Schizosaccharomyces pombe: one gene and its partners. The gene in region 1 interacts genetically with each later gene. Each region holds a gene or a part of one and is shown on either strand. Other genes may lie near its edges.

Region 1 (4,454 bases):
CGTGATGTTGACCGTGCTCGCAATTTAAAGAAGTCTCAAGCTTCTAAAAAGAAACAAGCCGGAGATCCTACCAAACGTCTTGAAGCGTAAGTGGAATGGAATCAGGATTTTGTTTAAAAACCAATTAGCTAATATTTTAAGTCAAGCTGAAATTATGCGTGCTAAACAACGTGCAGCTGATGAGCGCAAGGCAGCGGAAGCCAACGGTGGCTCAAAAGGAAAAAAATAACTATATTCGAAATTTTGTTAAAGGGCAGTTTATTCCATCCTTTTAAGTGGTGTTTTTCCACAGTACATTGGCTCTTTATTCTGTTATTTTTCTTCAATTTTACCTCTATTTTGATAAAAACAATAAAATCTATATTTCTAAGTAAAGAGTAAATAAACTCGGTAGTCTTGCAATCTATAATAACATCCCATTAAGTTACTTAATCATTTACTCGTAATTTCTTAACTCTCGGTTATGCATATCATACGCCTTATGTCTCATCTTTGCCAATCAAATTATTTTATTACTAACTACCGCGCGCCTTGTATTAAAAATTAAAAAAATCAAATTCAAGATATACTAAATGCAAATATTCGATAGACTAATTATAAAAAAGGCAAAATCAATAACTTTGAAAATAGCCTAAGAGCAACTCATATAAATAATTTAAAGCTCAAATTAAAGAAAAGGAACATCAAACCTTCTCAACACTTTTCTAAGATCATATAGAAGTTAATCTCTTCTAAAGATATATGTTTAATCACACCCGATTATAAAGAAGAAAATAAAACGGCCTGTATTAATAAACATTTCAGTAACCCACATCACCAGAGATAAGCCAGCTCATCTCGCCAAATAAGTATCGGTAACATTCAAATATTAATTTTCTATACTTTCGATAAAAAAAGTAACAAATTGTTCATGACGACACTTACATAGCAAGAGCAGCAACCAAAAGAGATCCCAAAACTAAAGCACCAGCAGTGAAGCCGTTAGAAGCGGCTGAGCTTTCATGGGAGGAAGAGGAAGAGGAAGATGCAGAAGAATCAGAAGAGTATGAAGTGGTGGTAGCAGAACCAGTGGCAGATGTGGCAGATCCACTAGTAGCAGAGACAGTGGAAGACAAATCATAAGAACTAGTAGCAGAAATGGTAGCAACACTACCTTGGCAAGTGAAATCATCACCCTTAATAACACTGTCATCATTGGACCAAGGGCAAGTGAAATTGGTAGCCTTAGTCTCGACAGTGAGAGCACCCTTCACATCACTCAAATCAGGCATATCAATGCTTGAGAAGTTACCGAGAAGAACTAAACCACCACCAATTTCAGAGATGACGGGGAAACCATCAATAGAAGTCAAACCAGTATCGTTAATAACGAAACCACCACCAACAGTGGTAAGGTTAGGGAAGTTGAGGGAAGTAAGCTCAGGAGAGTACAAAACAGCAAAACTTTGTCCGATTTCGGTAAGGTAAGGAACCGAAATGTTATCCAGAGTAGTGTTAGAGAAATACAAGTTACCAGCAGCACTCTTCAAGTTACCAATAAAGACGTTGCTGATACCATCAAAAGTAGCAGTGGTAACGTTAGAAAGTTTACTGAAGTTTACGCTTACACCCTTAGAGTTAGCGGAAATCTGGATATTTTGAGCACTTTCGAGGCCCTCCATGGTGATCTCCTGAATATAACGATTGTTGGTTACTTGGAAAGTAGTGACGGAATCCAAACTGATACCGTCAATAGCTTGAAGTTGAGTGTCATCAATTACGACACTATCAGAATCGGAAAGACCAGCGTTAAATTGAAGCTCCTGTAAGTTTGGTAAAACAGCAAGATTTAGGCTTCCAACCGAAGTGAGCTCAGGGGTAGCAAGGTTGTTCATGCGGATCATGTTGTTAACGTTAAAAGCACCAGAAACGTTTTTCAAAGAAGGGAAGGAAAGAGAGGTCAAATATTGACCATCAGAAACCACAACATCACCTTGAACGGACTCAATTCCATTAACAGTAAGGGTGGTGATGCCAGAGTTACCAGCATCAGAAATGTACAAATCACCATTCAATACAGTACAGCTGTTAAGCTCGTCAAGAGTACCTTGGGCGGAGATATTGTAAGGGCCGCTGGAGCAGTTGGAAGCAGCTTGTACGCGAGCTGCGGCGAAAAGAAGAGTGAGAGCGAATGATTTGAACAACATATTGACTTTAGACTATATAATGTAGAAATATGATTGGAAAAATATAACGAAAGATAGTTTTTAGGATGCAAAAAGGGAATATGAAGGTAAATTTGTTAAATCAAAAGAGAAAGAGGACAAATATGTAAAATGCGTTTATAAGGGGAAACGTAGTAATAATCAAAAAGACAGAGATTGACCACAAAAGATATGCAGAATAGCGGGTATTTATAAAAGGTATATGCTATATATTACGGGTAATATATATGATATGTTTTATAAATGAATGCGTGGGTAATGAATAAAGAAGTAAAAGAGTGTTTAAAACTCAAATGTAGTTCGCTGAGGATGAAGCGAGTTGCGGAAAAGACATCTATATATACCCGGAAAATGCAAAGAATTGTGACTTGTTAGATAAAAAGGGGGACAACGAGGTGCGCAATTTCGTTGCAATGTTTACTGTAAACAATGAGTAATTGTGTATTGCTGGTTGCTAGGCCACAACACCAACGAGGAGCTTGCGACCAAACTTTGAAGACCGTTTATTGGCTAAACTTGTACGTTTACGAGTAATTTGACTCTCGTTAAACACATTGGCATGACAACAAGGCGTTCGACTCTTTACAGATTGAGAATTGTAAACACTCAATGTAAACAATGCTGTATTTTCTGTCAAAACTTCATTTGTATTCCAGCTTTGGTTTTAAGGTTATTCATCGCATAAACATTTAAAGGGAGAGACACAAACCGCAGTGTTTGACCCTTAAAAAGTCACATTCACGGGCTTTTAAACGTGACATCACTTGTTTGTTTTAGTGAAAAATAACAGTCACCAGATCTCTGAAGAGGTAGGATTTTTTTATACTAGAAAAAAGCAGAAAATCATAAATATTATTTGGTATAGAAAATGCTTCTTCCAGCTATGCTAATCTTGTTTATTTTTCGCTCATATGCAACGGTATTTACGTTTCCGTAAATGGTTTCAGACATTTGTTTACTGACAATTACCGTTACCGCAGCAACGATCTGTCCATCTGCAGTGTAAACAGATTTATTTAGTCATGTAAACAAAGTATTTACCGTGCTGTAGAGAAGTAGAGGCGCAGTGGATATGCTTAGCAAGTTGAAGGAGAAAAGATTGCAAAGGTCATACCGGTATTCAACTGATTGACTAGACTGAACTGTACTGTACTTCAGAAGCATTTACCTGTTACTTTTTAACTTCTTGTAGTTTCGATGATTATTTTGGCCTTTGTGTATTTCATCTTTGTGTGACATCCAGTTATTACTTTAAAACTTAAGTAATTTATATTTCCCATTTTTGATGCACTGAGTGAGAAAAAAACTACTTGATTATTCAAATTTGTTCAATATTTTAAGAAATAGCAAACAACAGTCTACAAAATTATTTTGGCAATACAGTTTAATCAGAAATAATGTTGAAAGGCATAAATGATTTTTAAGTTGATTTTATGTTTATTTTTTTTGTGAATAAGCTATATTATCTTCCACTGTCTAGGATGATTTGCTTCAGAAAATTATTTAATCATTGTTGAAGGTTGAACAATTCTAGACTACTGTGCATGATTTAGGAATAGAATATGAATGTGGATATTTTAAATATTGATCTAGAATAAATGCCCTAATTGGAGAATATGTATTGTATTTAGAAGCTAGTACTCCAAGGTAATAAAATGTATGCTGAAACATAAAATGTTTTTTTGCTATACATGTGCACTGTAAGCTAGACTGTTGAATGTATATGAATATTAAGTCAGTAGAATGCTTGCATCATTTATTACACAAAGTTGAAATGATTAACTCCAGAGATTTCGGGTACTTGTTAAAAAGCATCTTAAGGTGATTAGTTCCGTCATGGTTTTTATAAATTCCTTTACCTTCTATCTCGAAGTAATCTTATAGGAGCGATTACACATCAACTCATATTAAAAATTTAACTTTGATTACTGTAACTTGCCTATTTTTTACATTCGTAGTGTAATCATAATTACCGTCCAAATATTCAAGTAAAAAGCGGCGTTGTAGTCTGATGGAGATGCCCGTTATACAAATTGAGTAAAGCACTCATTTAAGACTGTTTTGCTATTTGGAACCTTTTTATTTTTTTTTTATTTTTTTTATTTGTTCTCTTGTGTGACGTGAGTTAGTAGTTAATCGCTGCGATTATAAAAGAAATTGATTTTTAATACACAAAGTATATCTTTAATTTATCTGAGCCGCGCTTTTTTTTATTTATTTAAAATTTCGTATCCTTGCATACAGGCTATA
Region 2 (2,684 bases), 2.4 Mb from region 1:
GGAAACAGAATTTAATATTTCTCCAGAACTCTGTTATACGGATTCTGGTAAGCGCTTTTTACCCATCATATCTAATGTCACAGCTGAGCTTTATCCAGCTGATGAAGAGGATATAAGGAGACAATTATTGCTACAGTGTTTTCGTCCTGTTTTATTTAAAAATTGCCTCAAAACAGTCAAAAGCAAATATGGAGCCAACTTATTTTATGCATATGGTCCTGGGACTACGATGCAATCAATAGCAAAGCAGAATGGAATTTCCACCAAGTCTCGTCCATGAGGACTTTTCGAAGCGAGTAGTTAAAAATTAGCCTTTCTACTGTAATTCCATTAATTTTTTTCCTTTTACCTAGTCAGTCATGATGTTGCTCATTTGTATACATGATCTTTTGGCATTCTGACAAGAGTTAGAATAATTACAGGAATGCATATCGTCTAACATAACATTTTAAAGCTATGCACAATCAAATGCATCACCATCAATTTAAATGATACTGTAATCGTTAACAACAAATACTATCCACACTACAATAGCTCCACATTCTTACAAAGGATACAGTTTTAAGACAAGTATTTTTTATTGCTCGAATTTTGCTACACTACAGTGAATTTCACATGTTTACATCCGTGTAATCCAAAATATTCTTAATATTTCTTTATCTGTAAAGTTACCAAGACAGAAATAACAAGAACACGAAATACCCCAAAAGAAATAATCTATTTGAGCTTCTTCTTGGGACGAAGTTGGTTGGTGTGACCACACTTCTTCTTGCGGCAGTTGGTAGCACGGGGAGGAAGACGGGCATAGCACTTACGGCAGATTTGCTTTTCGCAGTTGTATTTGGAAGCCAAAGCCTTTAGAGAGGGCTCAATGATACCACCACGAAGACGGAGAACTAAATGAAGGGTAGACTCCTTTTGAATGTTGTAGTCAGAAAGAGTACGGCCATCCTCTAATTGCTTTCCAGCGAAGATAAGACGTTGTTGGTCAGGAGGAATTCCTTCCTTGTCTTGGATTTTGCTCTTGACATTGTCAATAGTGTCAGAGGACTCCACCTCAAGGGTGATAGTCTTTCCGGTCAAAGTCTTGACGAAAATCTGCATGATTGTGGTGGACAAAGGATTCCTTCTTCACTGAAAGCACCGTAAGAGCCCTTACCGAAAAAAGCAGTCACGTTTAGTGCGTCCTCTAGCGGTGGACATTAATTTCTTAGCACAAATTCAGTAAAATATTATAACGCATAGTAAAATACTATGGTATATTTTGTAGTCTGGTAGAAGATATGGCTATTGTTGAGAAATTTTTGACGATAAATGGTCTCCTAATTTTTGGATATATTGATAGGCATTAGGAGGAGCCGGCATCCTTCGATTAGCCTATATAGAAATGTTGCGCATATTGTTAGTTGAACCTAAGAACGACGATAGTTGCAAAGGTCGCTTACACAACTGGAATATAAATGACTTCGAAGGTTGGAGATAAGTTAAGTAATGTGTTTGAACTAACCTTTTACTACTTTAAAAGACACATCTTTCACATTTAAGGGCTGTGCATTGCTGTTATCGACATAGATAGATGAATGTGTAAATCTACATGAATAGACTGTGAACCACTATGTTAATCTAAATCCTGTTAAAGATTATTAAATTATTCTTTAAGAGTATTCATAACTAAATTTTAAAAATAAAACTTGGGTTTTAGGAAACTAATTACCATCCTCTATCTTTCTGGAAAATCGACGTATCTAGCAATTGTGATTATTAGAGGAGGCACAATGGAAATTATCAAACCTTTTTCGTTCCAAAATTGACTAATCAGGCATTTATGCTATAAAAAGTAGAATTCCATAATTTACATCAAATACAAAGTAATAAGGACGAACAAACCAGACACTACAAAGTATGGAAAATCCACACAAAAATGAAATTAAAATATCAATCATATTCGGAACGTACGTAAGAAAAATTCATCATCTTCTTGTCAGGCAGGAGTTCCTTGCCGACGGAAGAGGTGTTATCATAACTGATAGAAGACGTAAATATCAAAAAAAGCTTCCGAAACGTTTCAACTTACTTAGAGAAAAGGAGTAGTAACATGAGCGTCAAAATTGTAGTTGACACGGCTAAAAGCCTAAGACTTCAATAGCTTTCATTACACTCATTAACAGGAGGGTATATCATTTAAAAGGAAGGGGGGAATAATTAAATTATAAGCTTTCCATTCTTTCTAAAATGGCATGCGTGAAATCACCAGTGGAAGCCGAACCACCCAAGTCTTTGGTCAGGGTTTTACCCTCTTCAATGACAGAATAAGTAGCGGCATTGATAAGATCAGCATAATCTTTTAGGCCTAAATGACGAAGCATCAAGCAAGCGCTAAGGATGGCAGCTGTAGGATTGGCTTCCCCACGTCCAGTAATACTTAAACCAACATGACGGCAACCAGGCTCGAATAGAGCATAGTCACGACCAAAATTGGCACCTGGAATGACACCGGGGCCACCGACCAAAGCACTTCCAATGTTGCTAAGAATGCTACCGTACAAGTTCGGCATCACTAAAACATCGAATTGCTGGGGACGAGAAACAGCCTGCATGGAGGCATTGTCGACAATTAAATCCTTAGGAGTAATAGCGTCGTAACCGTTAGCAACGTCGTAAAACGTCCTTCGAAAGAGACCGTC
Region 3 (4,796 bases), on another chromosome or scaffold:
TAAAAATATTTTTCAGTTCACTTTTAAAGAATTAAACGAGTGATCCAGTTACTCTAAGATGATTACAACGTTTAGTATCAGAATCTCAGGTAAGGTCTCCAGACAAAACGAATACTGCCTGTTCGACAAAGATCGCTCCACACAGTATCTGCTAGCTTACAATTATTCTCCTTCTCCTGTTAATTTAGCAGTTGAAACACAACATGTAAACAATAGCAAATTACGCGGTCGTTTAGGTTAAAGACATCTGAAGGTCCCAAAAGTTCGAACTTTTTAGTAACTACTGGTTACCTTTATCCAAGAACAAAACTTTCTTTAATTACAAATGGAATATGAATACGGGTCCGTGGAATGGGGAATTTTAGAAATGTTCAATGATTGTAACGTAAACCAATGTTAAGTAACACCTGCAATTATGTGACTTTTCCATCAAAAAACTATTAAATTTAAATGAAAGCGTTAGAAAAGAATATAAGTTTAAGTACAAATTTTATGAGCTTATGGTGATATTGGATGACCTACACCTTAATATACTAACAACATGTCTACTCGATAAATTTTTTTATTTTTACTTACCAATGTAAGCAAATGTTTTTGATGTAAAGCGAAACTACGCATAAGAACTGTACTTTTTCATTTGGTTGTTAAAAAATGCAATATTACTTTTCATTGACTATTCCACTAGGCAGATAATTTTTTTCATTTCTGCTCCAAGACAATAGATATGCCAGTTTAAAAGATATGTATGATAAAAAAAGGTTTACAAAGACAAATAATAACAAGTGAGAGATTAAAGCATCAGAACAAGAATAAGCTGTAGGCATAAATTAACTCATTCTCATTATATGGTTATTAGATTCAACCCAAAAAATGACCTTCCTTGACGAAAAAAACGCAAATTGTTAAAATTTTAAAAATTAACGCGGTTATTTGGGCATTCTAGAAGAATAAAACAAAGAGCATTGCGGTAACACCCAAGCCAAAAACTAAAGTCTTGAAAGAAAGGATAAGTCTAGATGATGAAGAGATCGTAAATATACTACCAGTACCAGTAAATGATCTGGCAGAATAAGAAGGAGAGTAATAAGAGGTATAGACAGTGGTTGTGGCAGTTGCCGATGTAGATGGCATGACTGTACGATTGACAGTTGGTAATGTAAAACCAGACATCTTCGAATGTGGATACATAATCAAGGGATATCCGTTGGTCATACTGGCAGTCAAGGTTTTATCGGCACCAACGGTTAAAGTTCTGTGACCGAAGACATCAGAGACTACTTCATTGGCAGTGTAATTCGTCTCAACTTCATAAATTGTAAGGTTGTTGGTAACTCCCATATTATTGAACATGACGAGAACATCATTTTTTTGTCCAACATAGTGATCAACAGCAGATTCGATCGATTGATATGTGGAAGTGACCCAATCCGGATCCTGAGTAATGACAAACTTTCTAAATGCAACCATCGTTTTAATAACGGTATAGTACGGGTTTGATTGATCGTAATCAGTAAGCCAAAGTGCAGGACGATTAGCAGGATCCTCACCACCATTGAATCCCTGTTCTTGTCCGTAGAAAATTGAGGGTATGCCGTCCCAAATCAACACAAATGACAAAGCCCCCATAATCTGTGACTGGTCACTTGTGTAATAAGGAAATCTGTACAAATCGTGATTTTCGATAAAAGTCAACATTAAAGTACTATCATATTTTGAACAGTTTGAAGCCATTACCTCCTGGTAAGTGGGAATAAGAGTGAATCCAGCACCAGTAGCAGTAAAAGAGAAGTTTATGTACAACTGCAAAAAGTAATTGGTAACTCCAGGAAGGACACTCATGTAACTACACATAGTATCAGGATCATAAGAGAAAACTTCACCAACGCTGTAAACACCCGTAGCATCAACGAAATCAGGAAAGAATGTGTAGTTCATCATTTTCACAGCATCAATACGCAGTCCATCAAAATCGTATTTAGAAATAAGACTTTTGAAATGATCACTCAAATAGGAAGAAACGTCTGAACTTTCGACATCCAAATCGGCCAACAATACACCAGAATCTTGCCAACAATCCATTACGTTCGTCTCATTATCTGTGATATCCCAATCAATAAGACAGTACGGATGGAAGTAGCTCTCCTTGTTAAAAGGATTAAGAGATGAATAGTCAGCATCTGCTAGCGGAGGAGCAAGTGCCATAGAATTGACGATACTATCCAACATTACCCAGATACCCGCTTTATGAGCAGCAGTAATAAGGCTAACTAAATCATCTTCTGTACCAAAGTGTTCATTGAGGGACTCATAATCAGTGTTCCAATAGCCGTGATAAGCATAACCAGCACCGTCGATATCTCCTTCAATATTTTTATCAATGGGAGATATCCAAATCGCATTGAAACCCATATCCTCGATGTAATCCAGTTTGTTCTCGATACCCTTCCAGGTACCACCACAATACTGGTTTGCATCCGGATCACATGGATTATCCGTGCTTCCATCATCAACCGCGAAACGATCCGTCAAAATTTGATAAATAATACGTTTGCGCCACTCAGCATTACTACCAGCATTAGCAACATGAATGAGGGCGCTTGAAAGAAATAGGAGAACAAAATAAACACCAAACATGCTAAAAAAAGGTATCAAGGGGTATTTAAGCCAAGACGACTAAAAGAAAGAAGTTTGGGAGAGCACAAAAAAAATTATGTTTTGTAAAAGTTAATGATATGAGCCAAATCCCACCAAAAAGAATGACAATAAAATACTAATAATAAAGGAGTGGAAATTGTGGGTCAAGAAATTATCAATGCAGTACCAGTATTGAATAAACAAAAATCTATGAAGAAAGAAAGCGGAAGTGCAAGAGCCGACTTTACGTCGAATGAAGGGACCACGTTAAAATTTTTCAAATGTACGTCCGAATTGACGCTAGTCTCCTTAGAAACCTTCGTTTTCTTGCAAAAGATTGTAAAACCTGTTTAGCGGTGTAGTTTGTTGAAGGATGGATACGCTGGTAGCAACAAAATACTAGGCGTAGGTAAACAATCTAATATATCAGCGTTCGAATCCGGCTGCCATCACATTTTATTTAACCCGTTTAGCAAATAGATGAGGTGCTTAATCAACAATAACGACGACAACCTCTGAGCTTCACGAATATGCTAAATTTATAGCGCTTCACTAAATCGTATACCGGTTCGCGCTAAATAAAAACTGATGCTTAAATTCAAATTTCTGTGTTAGTAAAAGAGCAGATAAAGCGAGGATAAAAATGTAGGATGTTGATTAAGACTCTAAATAGAGTAGCGCAGAGAATAATACTAAATACTGAAAGACCGATCCCGTTAAACTAATATCAAATCCATAGCATCAAACAGAGGTTTGTATTATGTATCCTATGAACTATCCTCATCAATAATTGCTTATTATAATATAACATAAACATATACAACTTTCGTGTAACTAGCCAAGGACTACTATAAGTAATATGGTTTATTCATACAATGCTAGTTCCTATACCTATAGAAATTCGTTTCCTGCTGAGCTTATTTTAAGCTATGGGTAAGCGAGTCAAAAACCAAAGACGCTATTTGTAAAATGGCAAACGAAATTAGGTATTCTTGTTTTAATTATAAGCTTAAGAGACATTTGACATCTCGTTGGTAGTAATAGAAACTTGTTTTTTAACTTGTTCCATTCGCTTTAATGATAGCTGCACTGCCCTTGGTACTTTATTCTTGAAACTTTTTAGATTTTTTATATATCACAAAGCTTTTTCTAGTTCACCATTCTCAATTTTAGTGCTTCCTTAATCTAATAGTTGGTTTTGTACGCTGAATTGGTTTCGCATTTAAAAGTGCATTAGTACGTTTTTGAGAATCAAGTATAAGACATTTCAAGTAAATTGAAAAATTCCTGTCAGTAATACTTTATATCTAAGTCAAATGGTGTCATCTGATAATAAAATCCCTCAACAGTATTATTTATCAAACGAAAAATGTCATTAGTCATGAAAAGCTTCATTCGCTTATTTGTTTTGAAATTAAGAATGAAAGTTATGACTACATATCAATTCATTAAGCTGATATCTTTAGTATGCAATCCATTATTTTATACCATCTCCACTTTTTGTAAATCATTAAACATAATATCTAAAGCCAATTTAGCATTATTCAAATTCGAGACTTATTATTTTAAGTTTGTCTTAGAATTTCATAGTTTGCAAACTGTGTAAAATGAAATACGCATGGGTTTGGCAATTATACAAAAAGCTGCTCCCGAGCACAATTAGTTTAACTAGTAAACTCATGCTTTTCGAAATGGCATCAAAGCCAAGATAATTTGATCATATAAAGTTTTATTATTTAAAAGTTCCTATATTAAAATACTGCTATAGCTCACTCTAATCCTACAACCTACATCAAACTTTACATTACCTTGGTCACTTATAGTGAGCACATACCTTGATCATACATATGTCTGCACGATCCATACTCTAATCTGTGGTTTCTGAAAATTTACACGTAAATTAAGATAATTTGAAGTAATTTATTTTAAAATAAAAGATTAGTCATGGATGAAGCGGATTCTTGGGAGCTTTATTTGGCTCTTGGACTTCCCAAAGATGTAAGTATAAATAATCTCATTTGGGAATGCATATTTTATTAACATTTCCTTTAAACTCTAGGCTACAAGTGACCAAATAAAAGAATCATATTACAGACTATCAAGACTGTTTCATCCTGATCGTCACACTGCTGACCAGAAGGCAGCAGCTGAGGAAAAGTTTC

The links. Genes that interact genetically often act in the same process or in processes that back each other up.
Region 2: of ecm33 (region 1) and ubi1, extra expression of one rescues a mutant of the other (dosage rescue), as found in Schizosaccharomyces pombe (one study listed by BioGRID).
Region 3: of ecm33 (region 1) and aah3, extra expression of one rescues a mutant of the other (dosage rescue), as found in Schizosaccharomyces pombe (one study listed by BioGRID).

What each region holds. Positions count from the first base shown.
Region 1 is NC_003424.3:1,569,075-1,573,528, forward strand, and holds ecm33 (extracellular leucine-rich repeat domain, receptor L domain-like Ecm33), read right to left. Parts: upstream 2,516-4,454; 5' UTR 2,187-2,515; coding exon 921-2,186; 3' UTR 539-920; downstream 1-538. Other genes in the region: SPOM_SPAC1705.02 (uncharacterized protein), read left to right, coding at 1-86, 142-229.
Region 2 is NC_003424.3:3,967,429-3,970,112, reverse strand, and holds ubi1 (ubiquitin-60S ribosomal protein L40 fusion protein), read right to left. Parts: upstream 1,118-2,684; 5' UTR 1,105-1,117; coding exon 718-1,104; 3' UTR 555-717; downstream 1-554. Other genes in the region: S-malonyltransferase Mct1, read left to right, coding at 1-280; isocitrate dehydrogenase (NAD+) subunit 1 Idh1, read right to left, coding at 2,208-2,684.
Region 3 is NC_003421.2:833,027-837,822, forward strand, and holds aah3 (GPI-anchored glycosyl hydrolase family 13 protein), read right to left. Parts: upstream 3,003-4,796; 5' UTR 2,635-3,002; coding exon 940-2,634; 3' UTR 555-939; downstream 1-554. Other genes in the region: mib1 (DNAJC11 family protein), read left to right, coding at 4,579-4,632, 4,694-4,796. UniProt on the Schizosaccharomyces pombe protein: Has a role in cell wall biosynthesis where it is involved in maintaining cell wall strength and shape.